Caenorhabditis elegans: one gene and its partner. The protein of the gene in region 2 purifies or fractionates together with the protein of the main gene of each other region. This does not show direct contact. Each region holds a gene or a part of one and is shown on either strand. Other genes may lie near its edges.

Region 1 (4,975 bases), on a different chromosome or scaffold from region 2:
CGATGAAAATTCTGCAACGATGAGAGTTTGAAGTTACAGTACACTTTAAAGGTGCGTATATTATTTTATCAAAATGATGGCGTGTCGAGACCAAGTACAGTATTTTTGGGGCCAACATCGCTACATTTCGATAAACTTAACATGTCTTTTAAAAACTACCGTAACCCAATACGATATTATACAACGATAACGCGTACTTTCTCAACCAAAGAGATAATGACGTGGCATTATTACAGTATACCAAATTCCTATTATGATTCATGCATCCTTTATGTATTGTTTTGTACAATTCTGCCTTTGTTCTGCGTCTCTTCACAATTGACCAATCCTTGTTCATTCCATTGAATTCATTTCGCAACAAAAAATGTATGCTTCTTCCATTTTTTTCACCCTCGCGGCCACCGTCTTTTTAAGTGTAGAGGAGCGCACTTCTGCGTCTCTTCTCCAATAAACACTATTTCAGTTTCCCGCTCACATTCATTCGTTCATAAATATATTGTGAGAGAAAAAAAGAAATGGGAGGAGAGAAGTGTATGTGTGCGTATGTGCCCCCCAGAGGGTTGTCATTTTGTCGTCAAAGGGTTACTGCTGGGCGTTGAAGATTGAAGATGCAGATGCCCGTGGAATGGATTACGGTAGACGGAAGACAATTGAGAGAAATAATTTACTTCAAAGAAGAATTTGAGGGACATACTTTCCGACAAATGTCGTGTATTGTTACAATTTAAACATTTCAATCGAAAATACTGGTAGTCAATATGAAACCACGTGGATTGATTAACACTAACGAATTCACAAGTAATCAATAATTAATTATTTTAGAAAAGTCCCTTGGCAACAGCATCTGGAATCTCGTTTTTATGATCTTTGAGTTGAGCTCTTGATTCGTATGTGGCAATTGCAATCTGAAAATTGGTTTTTTTCCGAGGCGACAAATTAAAATTCTGTAAAAGCCAGATGTGCAATTTTTACACCAAAAATACAGTACTTGGTCTTGACACGACGATTGTTTGTAAAATGTGAAATGGTGTGCGCCTTTGAAGAGTACGGTATTTAAAACTTTCATTTCTTCGACGTTTAAAAAAATGTAAATTTTTTTAAAAAGTTTTTCAATAATAAAAATTTTAAATCCAGAAAAATCAATAAAACTTTCTGCAGTATCTAACAAGATTTAAAAATTACAGTACTCTTTTAAGACGCACATCTTTTCTCCTTTCACAAATTCGTCGTGTCGAGACCCATTGGTGAAAAAATATTTCGCGTCTGGCTAATATTCAAATTTTTCCTTACCCTTTGTCTGAACTCGTGCTGAAATTCTCCACGTAATCCGATATAGTAGATCTTTGTCTCATCTTCTCCAAAGTTTGCATCTACCAAAATCGATAGATTATGAATATTTCCAAACTTTGAAGCTTTCAACGGATAATCCACGAGTCCTTGTGGATCTTGTTTCAAATCAATTTCCTGATCTGCCTCAATACTACAGTCATCAAATGACATTGCCTCTCGATCTTTGAACAATCGAATTTTGGCTGGATGTGATCCATCTTCGTCTCCGATTATCGAGAGACCCGTTAGACGAACGTGTCCGGTGAATGGAATATTGAATAGCAACTCGTGATCGCAATCACTTTCTACGTATTCCAATCTGAAATTTGATTTTTAAGAGTGTATATGTACGTGTATACTTTTCTTTCTCTGGACATTGGGGCATTAGTTGACAGATTAGTTGTTCAGGTTGTTCTATTGACAGATAGAAAGACAGCTGTCAGCAATTTGATACAATAAGTACTTAAGTTTATCTTCATTACGAAAAAGTATTTAGCGAACCTTCAGAATACCTAGTTTAATTTTAAAACTTTAACATTACCATATGACTTATTTGTTTTAAATAATCTAAATTATGTGGCTGCGTGGCGGGTACGGTAGATTACTGTAAGATCGCTGCGAGATGTGATTAAAGCTGAGTCCCATATTACCCGGACGCGAATTTTGAGATTTTTAACAAAATACGGTACACGGTCTCGACACGACTAAATTTTTAATGCGAAAATGTGTGCGTCTTTAAAGAGTTAGAGAGTACTGTAGTTTCGAACGTTCGATATTGCGGATCTTCATAGATTTGTCATAGTTTTTTTCGGTAAATACATTTATATATTTAATAACTCAAATATAAACACATAAATTTGAACAAAACGTGAAATAAAAACTATGTTGATAAAAATTCGACAGAAATGAGCGTTAGTCTACAGTACTCTATAAACTCTACCGTACTCTGTAAATGCGCACATCTTTTCTCATTTGGAAAATAATTGTCGTGTTGAGACCGGGTACCGTATTCTTGTCGCCAAAATTACAAATTTTCACGTCTGGGAATTTAAGTTTATACCAATTTCTGTGAGTAATACTGAAGAGTTGTCAACTTTTTCCGATTAGCCACTATTTCGTAGACATAAATAATTTTCAAAATACTCCCCATTACCACAATACTCTTTAAAATGGAATGTTTTATCGTCGGAATAATCCTATATAAAAATGTAATCCTCATGTACTAGCTAACCTGTCATCTCTTTTTTCCATCACCTTGAAAACCTTCTTTCCGGCGCCGTCGACTGACTCGTTGAGAGTAGTTACCTGAGAGAATTGGTATCAATTTAATTGCTGAATTGAATAATAAAAACGTTGACAGCGGATGGCATTTCTCGCGATGCGTTTTCCTAATTTTGTGAGATTGTAGGGAGAAGTTACAGTTAACGCATTTTAAATTTAATTTTTATTTTAATTTCGAACAAGAATATTTAATTAGTTCTTGAAAAACTATTCCTGTTTTTTTCGATACTCAGAATATTTATATGTTTCATCTTACAATGCATCTTTCAATTATTTATTTATGGGTACGTAGAAAAAAGCCTCTTTGGCATAGAGGTGCAAGCGCGCTCCAACACTAAATAAATACGCTCCGCCCCCAAACATTGGGTCTCGTTAGGTATCTTCGGGAAAACTTTAAATTCGAACGTTTTAAGTGTGTTTTTGCTGATTTCAATCATTTTTGTTTTTTATGTTTACCTTTTCCATGTCAATATAGCTGACCATATCGTAGCGATACACGTCATCACCTGGAACTTCTGGAATGTGCTCTGCGGCACAATTGTGAGAATGACCATGTGAACACATCTGGACAAAAAACTATTTAAACTACTTTTGAATAAATGCCAAGTATCGGTATTTTTCAACCATCAAATATTAAAACACTCTGAAAAAGTTTTTCAGAAAACAATTTTACTGTAATCGATTCAAATGTATCTATTCAAAAGAGGACATGGGTTGATCATGGTGATACAGAAGTATTTGCAGATATTTTGTAATACTGGAGGGATCGAAAGAAAACAAAGAAAGAGAAAATGAGATTTTCTGAGATAGGTATTGAGTCAATTAAATAGCCAACAAACTTCTTTTTTTGAAAATACAAGCAATTTGAGAAGGAAAACAAGATGGGGTTTGTCAAAGGAAACGAATTTAGCCGTATTCAAGATAAAACGATAGTGTGCAGAGAAATAATTAAGAGAATAGCAAAGGAAGAAGCAAAAACATTAACAGTTGACAAGACATACAAAAGAAACATTATGGCGTTTTCAAATTATTATGCATTGGGGTTGACTGGGGCAGGTTGAAATAAGTTACATGCGAGAATAAACTGTAGCGGTTTTGGAAATACCTTCTCTTTTAACATTCTTGAAATCAAAAAGAAGGCAAATCCATTGAAACTACAGAATTATAAATATTACAATAAATTGACTGAACAAAATATTTAAATTAGAAAAAAAAATGTCTACGAGAGAACAGCCGGATGCTCAAAGACAAGATGTTCAGCTGACCGGGCACGCTTTGGAAGCGATGATGATTGAATCTTATCCTCGAAGACACGGCTCAAAGCCTGTAAAATTGTTGAATAAGAAATTGGGAAGAATTTAAAAAGTTTTTTTCAAATGTTGAAACTTTCAGAATTATTTTTTCGAGAATAAACAGCACATTAAAAATCATGTTTCAATCTTATTGCATACAAAGGATATTACTATTTGACAATTTTTCTTTGTTCTTATTTTCTTTTTTTTTATATGTTTTTCGATTTTACACAGAAAAAAAAAACGCAAATTTTCGTATTTTTTCGATTTATATTTTCAAATTTTTTTTTTTAATTTTGACCATTATCGCTCTTTTTTGAAAATAATTTATGTTTTCTTCTCATCAACATAGACATAATTCGATGAAAAATTCATTTTTTCTGTTAATTTTCAGAAAATATTTTTTTCGATTTTTCTATGAAAATTTTTCAATTATTCCAATAGACTAAAATATTAAATTTTGAAAAAAAATTGCAAAAAAAACAGAAAAACATCAGAGACCCCTTTGATCTAAAAATTGACATTTCTTTTTGTTTATGCAACAAAAAAATAATTTTTTTTGGTAATTTTTAACTTTTTCCCCGAAAATCAATTGTCAAAAAGGTTACCTCTAATCTTTGCGCTCTCTCCTTATACAACGGTTGAATTGGTAATTGTAAATCATTTGCAAGTGCCAATGTTCGAAGATCGAAATAATACTTGGCATACACCGACGACGGAACTTCAATATTAAAGTCGAGACATTCCAAAAACCGCCGTTCTAATTCGTTCCTGAAATAATTTAATTACGGGGTTTCTGACCAAATAAAAAAAATACTTACATATCGTCAACATTTGTATCTCGAAGAATTTGGCAATAATCAACATTCCAAACAGCTTGATCATCCCATACTTTTGATGCCAACATGATTGAACCGAGTACAACCCGACGCCAATTTGAAGGACACAAATCCATTTCTGCGTAATTAAGCAATCGTTCGATGTACACCTGAAAAAATGGTTTTCGCGTTTTTATACAAAATTGATAAATTTATTAAAGAAAAGAGAAATGCGTCGGCAGCAGAAAATCAAAA
Region 2 (7,416 bases):
ATCGAATGTAAGAATATCAGGGTTGGTTGAGCATAGATGAGATCCATTTCTTTTGGGAATTTTTTTTACTTGTTTGTGATAACAAATTGATGCCTAGAATTGTTTTCTAGTATTTTTCATCACGTTAAGTATTTTGAAGTTTTGTAGGCCAGTCATATTAGCATTTAAAAGTGGAGTTACGCCAGTGGGAAAAATGGTAAAAACTACCAGAATGGCGCCAAAATGACCGAATATTATAATGAAACTTTTCAAAAACATTTTTTAAATATTTTTATTTACTGTCAAAAAGTGACAATTACTCAGTTTTTGCCACTCATAGTTTTGGAAGTCGGCAAAAAAAAATTTCCTACATTTTTATACTATAATTTTTTAAAAAATTATTTGTATTAAAACATTGTAGGGGGCGGTACATGCGAAATTACTTAGAATTTTCACAAATTTCATATTTTTAAAATTTTGGCAATCGCAACAAGCCATTGAAAACAAAAACATTTCAAAAATATGGTATATTAAAATACTTTATTTTCATAATCTTATCAATTGCTCTTCACTTCCCGCGTTGCTCTCTTGTACTAAAGTTTCCACCTGTGTGAGTTCTGACCGTTGGTTTCTTTGGAGAATTGCTTCAATCATCATTTTCTTCAGTCTGAAATAATACAATTTTTGGCCCGCGAGATGTCGGATGCTACCTACTTCAGTATCGGAATTTCAAATAATGAGCTCCAGAAGAAAGCGAAAATGTAGGACAGGAGGCATGCCGGCACCGCGTAGTAAATAAACTGAATTTTTGAATTTTATTCAAATTAAAAATAAAAATCTCAAACTCACCACTTGAAACGTTGAGTAAAAATGCATACTGGAATCATTAATATTTAGGTACCAAAAAAGTGTGAAAAAGTGTACAATATACGCGCAATATGACAGTCTCCCAAGTGGCTGCCACATCGGATGGGACATAAATGCATCGATGGGGCCTGCAACGAAACTATACTTTAAAAAGTTACTGTAGAGTTACGGTACCTCCCCATCCCATATGGTTTGCAACAATAACCCAGGAAACTGCAATAGACCAGGCTATCCGCGAAAAGTTGTAGTAGGTGGCTCGGGCAAAGATGCTGGAAATCTTTTCCTAGATTTTTTGCTGAAAAGCTCTAAAAATGTTTTTTGAAAAATTCTGGAAAGTTTGAGGAAAGTTCTGAAAAAAATTTCTAGAACTCTCATGAAAATTTGAATTTTGCTGAAATACTTTGAAACGTATGGAAAATTGTTAGAAAACTGAAAAATCTGGAAAGTTCTGAAAATCTCTAATTAAAAAAAACATTTCTAGAGACTTCTACAATAGTCTTGAAACTTTTTTAATCAACTGGAAAGTCCAAAAATCTTCTGAAAATAATTAGAAATTTCTAGAAATTTCTGACATTTTTGAATATTGCTAGATAACTGTGGAAACTTTTTGAGTTTCCGAAATTTCAAAACATCTGGAAAATAATGAAAAAAATATGAAGCATTTAGTCCAACTTTTTTTAAAATTTGAAGCTTTGTAAAACTTCAAAACTTTCCTATGTTTCACTTTAGTAAGTCTTCTTGAAGCGTTATGCGTTTATTTTAACAAAATCCCCTTCTGGCGCTATTTACATATACAGTGCTGGCCAAAAAGATATCCACTTTTGGTTTTTTGTGTGTAACTTTTTTCTAAGTGGTTATTTTGTTTTGAAACTTCACCACAGTGTTCACAAAATCTAAAAACACAATATTCATCAAAAATGTTCAACAGATTTTGAAAAAACTTCAGAAAAATTCAAAAAAATCGAAAAACTAGAAATATTGAAAAAACCGAGGTTGCAAGGAAATGACAATTAAAGTACCGGAATATGAGCAATTGGATTTAAAAACAACATAATTATGCTTAATACTTTGTCGCGTATCCGTTTGCATCAATAACAGCTTGACAACGACGTGGCATCGAGTCGATCAGCTTGTGAATAACTGACATGGGGATAGCTTTCCAAGCGTTTTCCAACTGGTTGAATTTGGCATCTGCATTTGAAGCCCGAATACCTCCAAGACGTCTTTCCAACTCTTCCCACAAATGCTCTATTGGATTCAAGTCCGGAGACTGACTTGGCCAATCGAGCAAATGCACACGACGACGTTGAAACCAGGAACGCACATGAAGAGAAGTATGCTTAGGATCGTTATCCTGCTGAAACACGAAGCCACGGCCCACATTTTGAAGTGCCCAGGGTCGCATTGTAGTTTCCAAGATGTTTTCGTATTGAAAACGATCCATAATGCTTTGGATTCTCCTTAGTGGGCCCATGGAAGTGCTGGTGAAGCACCCCCACACCATGACGCTCCCACCTCCATGCTTAACGGTTGGGCATTGATACTTTGGAGAGTACCTAGAGCCAACAGGACGACGTACCCAGGAATTTCCATCACTCCCGAACAAATTGAACTTGCTTTCGTCAGACCAGATGTGTTTAGCCCATTCCTGACGTCCCCAACGAAGATGCGCTTTTGCCCACGCAACTCGAGCCATGCGATTTTTCTTACTGATGAACGGTTTCTTGACTGGCTTTCGTCCGTGTAGTCCTGCTTGCTGTAAACGTCGACGAACAGTTCGTTTACTTGGTACAGGTTCATTTGGAGAACTTATAATCATTTGAATATCCGTGGCGGTCCTATGCGGATCTTCTCTTGCTGATCGGAGGATGTTGCGATCCATCCTATGGGTTGTCACTCGAGGCCTGCCGGGCGAGATTCTCAAAGCGACGGATTTCTAAACATTTATTATTAAAAAATAATATTTTTCGAACTCACCTCAGTTTGGTACTTCTTGATTACTTTCCAAATAGTCGACGGAGAACGTTGAATTTGCAGCGCGAGCATTTTCGTGGGTATTCCTTGTTCGAAGCCAGCTACAATGGCTTTCTTGACGTCCAAGGAAAGATTTTTACACCCAACAGATTTTACCATACCTTAAAAATAATTTATCAACCAAACAAATCCAGTGCAACAAACAGAGTGCGTTTTATTGATAATTCAAAAAAAATAATGAAAATTGGAAAAACGAAAAAATCAAAAAATTGAAATAAAATTCAGAAAAAATCGATAATCATGTAATGTTTGGTCCGCAAATTTGCGTAACATTTCGCTTTATGCACACGGAAAAATTCAAGTCAAATGGATGCTTGAGAAAAAAGTTACACACAAAAAACCAAAAGTGGATATCTTTTTGGCCAGCACTGTACATATTTCACATTTTAAATTTTTTTAATCTTTTTGGACCAAGAAACAAAAATTACATTTGGTACTGCAATATCATACTTTTTACTATTATTTCTTGTTTCAAATCTCCAACCAAACTTCAGTATCAATAAAACTTTCCCATTACCTCCAGTAAGCACCTTTGTCGTAATCATATGTGGAAAACATGCATGCCATTCCAAGACCAAAAGCCACAAGCCATCCAATCACCGCAAGGAACCAATGAATCCGGATTTTTCTTTGACCAAATACAGCTAGACCGTAGCCAATAAGAAGACCTATAAGATACGGAGGACATCGGATCCATGGCTTGTGATAAATCATATCGTATAGAAGATTGGTGTTTCTGGAAATTATAAATTGCAAATTTTCCGAATGTGCCAGAAAATTTGAACTTACCCATTTCCAAAAAAATCAGCTGGCAAGTCATAAATACTATACAAAATATAGACAGTAACCAAACTTCCGATCATTCCAACTGCTATCAAGCTACTCCCAATTATCGCCGAGTAGTAGAGACCAACTAGGATTATTGGTGCAAAAATGTATAGTTGAGTATCAACTGCCAAATACCATGACGGTGCATAGCAGGCTGTACTGGAATCTCCCATGTTGTTGATGTAAAACAAATTCTTCCACCAGTACGATTCACAAGTTGCGATGCTAGAGAGCAGGGTGTCTGAAAATTTGTTTTATAAAGTCAAAAAAATTGAGAAGTACTTTCAAACTCACTAAACTGACTAGCCGAAAATGGACCTTGCACGTATTTCCCGTAGACAATATAAAAACCAATGAAAATCATGTATGGAGGAGTTAACCGGAGATATCTATGCATGTAGAATATGATCCAAGTAAGTGGGCTTTTGATTTGAGATGATTTATGCTTTTGCTTGAAGAATAGGTAAGCAACGACGATTCCAGACAGCAGGAAGAAAGTGTCAACGGAGACAAATGCGTTGAGTAGGAGGTGATTCCAGAAGTGATCGGTGAAGTGTGACATAGAGAGTAATGTATCTGGAACAACAGGTGTTTGAGTAGATATTTTGATACAAACATCCTACCTGGAGGTATCACAAACGTAAACGTGTGTCCTGTAACAACCCATAGCATTGACAAAAACCGAATGCAGTCCAAGCATTTTATAAATCCAGGCTTCTGCTCCTTCACGCTCAATAACACCCCCGCATTCGTCCATAATGAAAATGTCAGCAACATTTTCATGATCAAATTTGGTTGTGGCGGCGGGGAATGCTCATTTTTCATAGCATCTTTGAGATAATCAATAAAAGTTGCCAGAACCAAAATTGATATCATAACGCACATAAATGCAGAGAACCCCCAGAACGCCGAGTCCTTCTCAACTGGAAAACTTGAACAAAATGCTGCACAAGCCGTAAATGGCATCAGCGGAAGTTGATTAAAAAGTTGCGGGAGATCCTCAGAAGTACACGATACAGACATACACGTGGCACTTCTGAAAAACGCGGCGCTAGGCAAGAAGCCACCACCTCCGCCTATAGAGCAGGATGAGTTCTGAATTACAGAGTAAGCAAAAGCCGAAAAAAAAATAGAAAATCCCTACTCTGCCAGGAACCAAGACCAAGTAGCAATAATTCGTTTCATATTTTTTACCACTAATTCTTTGGCATTCTTGGTAAGATCCATCGAAGATCAGAGGAACTTCGAAGATACCTGATGAGGGGAGTTTACCAAATGCGTCGAGCTCTGAAACATTTTCATACTTTTCCAATATAAAAGAGCAAAAACTCACGTTCGATCGCATAAAAGTTATCCTTAATAATTTGAATCTCTTTTTTGTTGCACTTCCTCGAAATCAAGCAATCCACAGAAACTTCTGCAACTAGTTTCAGAGATTGTAACCAAGTTCGAGTATCATTTGCGCATTGAGCATTCACTTCATTCAAAGAATTTGAAGCATTCTCGGATTTTAAAATTTTCTGAAACTTGTTAACAAGTGCAGTCCAAATTAAAATCACAAACCTCCCAGCTATCAGCTTCCAAAGTTCCGATAAAAATTGCAAAAGTGAAAAGAAAAATGTAAAAATATTTGTAAAGCATTTTTTGAACTGAATAAAAAATGTGTAGGCTAATGAGAATCGAATTTTTTTTTGTGAAAATTCAACAATTCATAAGCATAATCCGTCAATTCATTTTCCAATGACAAATTCTCAATAAATTTTTCGGTCGAAAATTTGGTCAAAAGATCAACACTCAACTGTCTTATGTAGTATTACGCAATTGTGTGACTGTCAGACTGTCTGCGTCTCTTCTCAGTCCTACGTGCACCCAACAAGTGTGTTTTGGTTTAATTTTTATTATAAGGATAGACGAAATGCATTTACTTGAAAAAATTAAAATAAACTTCAATTTTCTATCCGAGACATTTGAAATGTACTGGACACTTTTCTAGTACTGAATTCCTTCTTCACTTCTGCGCCCAAATATTTTTTGAGCATTTTTCGCGTTGACGGACTTCCCAAATAGTAGACGAAAAAGTTTATGGCACATATGGTCTCAAGGCGAAAATAAAATGTTAAATCCCGCACGTATTGAGGTAGACTGTTATACGCGTCCTGGAAATTGACAGATACATATTTAAAGATTATATGCTCATTATATTGAAGTGCATTTTGGCTGTAAAATTTGGTTTTCCCTACCCAATTGGACAGTTTTGTAGATTTGCTGGGAAAAGAATGCGCAGCCGACATCGATCGAGGACCGCGATCATCGAATTAAGTGGCCCACGCGTTCCTCGACTGATGTCGGCTGCGCATGATCCGCTGAGGGAACAAGACAAACAAACTGCAGAGGTGTGCTATAAATTTATTTTTCTCAGCGTCGTGTCGAAGTTTTTTTTGGAAATTAAAATAGTCATCTAGAAAAACATTTACAATTTTTAAAAATAAATTTACTTTCAGTTTGAAAAACCGAAAAGTTGCTCAAAAACGACCTGTGCTGATATTGAGGTTAAATTCAGTTTTTGAGAAACTTTCGTAATTTTTTAATAAAAAACAAGTTAATTTTCAAAAAGAAGAATAATCTAAATTCCTATATGAATTTCCAAAAAACTTTGACACGACGATTTTAAAACGGAGCATTTTGTAAATTTTCCTTTGAATCAAACTTACAGGAAACGTTCTCATTAACAGAGATCCAACTTCATAAAACGACAGTCCAACTGTGATTGCAACCGTCTGCCGCATGAGCATATTCTCCCTTTTCAGTTGACTCTGCGCCAAGCTGCTCGAAGACAGCATTGAAATAACCGACGATTTTTGCCGTATCCTCGTGTAAAAATCATAGCGGTGAGCTTTCAAATGGAGCATCATAAGGACATTGATGACTAGAAGGGTCGTCGGCACCCAGATTGCATTGATATTTGTGAATTTTGTCACAGGATGTCTTTCTGGAGCACATGCCGTCAGGAAGACCAGTGTACTAGCGAGGAAGTTGACTGGGCAGTAGGAGAGACGAGGGATCAGGAGGAGAGTGAAGCAGAGGATCTGAAAGTTTTATATTTAATTGTATTGAAATCGTAAACACTCAAGCTCACCAAAATCAAAAAGCTATAGAAAAAGATCCTTCGTTGACCGAAAACTCGTTGATCTGTCGGCCGGATCACGATGAAAAATCGATTCATCGTCATGAGAACACTGACGCACATTGGAATAAAATATGTCAATGTGCCGAGCATTGTGAATTCACGTCCAATCATTTCACGGTATGCTGGAAAAATATAGTTTATTAAGTTTTTCACAAAATTTCAATGACTGTGGCTACTAGGTCTGAAATAATGCATTCCACGGCGCTCGACATCTTACGGGTTAGGAAAACATTGTCGGCTGCTTCGATCTTTTGGAAACACAAATTTCTATTCGGCTATGTGCTACAGATGATGTAAAAAGTGGGTGAAAAGCTCTACAATTATTTTTTCAGATTTTCAAAATTTTTCATTCGATATCCGAACTTCTATAAATAAAAGTCCACCAATCAGCGACGTTGGCTTCGCCCTTTGCGCATCGCTGATTGGTCAGTGTGTAAAATGATTTCAAATTTGTAATAAAACTCACACAAATACTCATAATACGGCAATGCCAAATATGTCGCGAAATCTGTGATGAACGC

Evidence for each region.
Region 1: the proteins of oac-7 (region 2) and ZK353.9 fractionate together in Caenorhabditis elegans (co-fractionation; one large-scale study listed by BioGRID). This does not show direct contact.

The regions. Positions count from the first base shown.
Region 1 is NC_003281.10:8,407,695-8,412,669, reverse strand, and holds ZK353.9 (PITH domain-containing protein ZK353.9), read right to left. Parts: upstream 3,175-4,975; coding exon 3,067-3,174; intron 2,635-3,066; coding exon 2,561-2,634; intron 1,649-2,560; coding exon 1,291-1,648; intron 906-1,290; coding exon 819-905; 3' UTR 653-818; downstream 1-652. Other genes in the region: cyy-1 (Cyclin-Y), read right to left, coding at 3,830-3,934, 4,511-4,673, 4,724-4,890.
Region 2 is NC_003283.11:16,307,862-16,315,277, reverse strand, and holds oac-7 (Nose resistant-to-fluoxetine protein N-terminal domain-containing protein), read right to left. Parts: upstream 5,474-7,416; 5' UTR 5,350-5,473; coding exon 5,272-5,349; intron 5,229-5,271; coding exon 5,042-5,228; intron 4,996-5,041; coding exon 4,853-4,995; intron 4,804-4,852; coding exon 4,332-4,803; intron 4,285-4,331; coding exon 4,003-4,284; intron 3,950-4,002; coding exon 3,670-3,949; intron 3,617-3,669; coding exon 3,398-3,616; intron 1,116-3,397; coding exon 1,021-1,115; intron 975-1,020; coding exon 829-974; intron 780-828; coding exon 694-779; intron 647-693; coding exon 526-646; 3' UTR 503-525; downstream 1-502. Other genes in the region: srxa-7 (G_PROTEIN_RECEP_F1_2 domain-containing protein), read right to left, coding at 5,655-5,864, 6,420-6,794, 6,845-7,017, 7,362-7,416.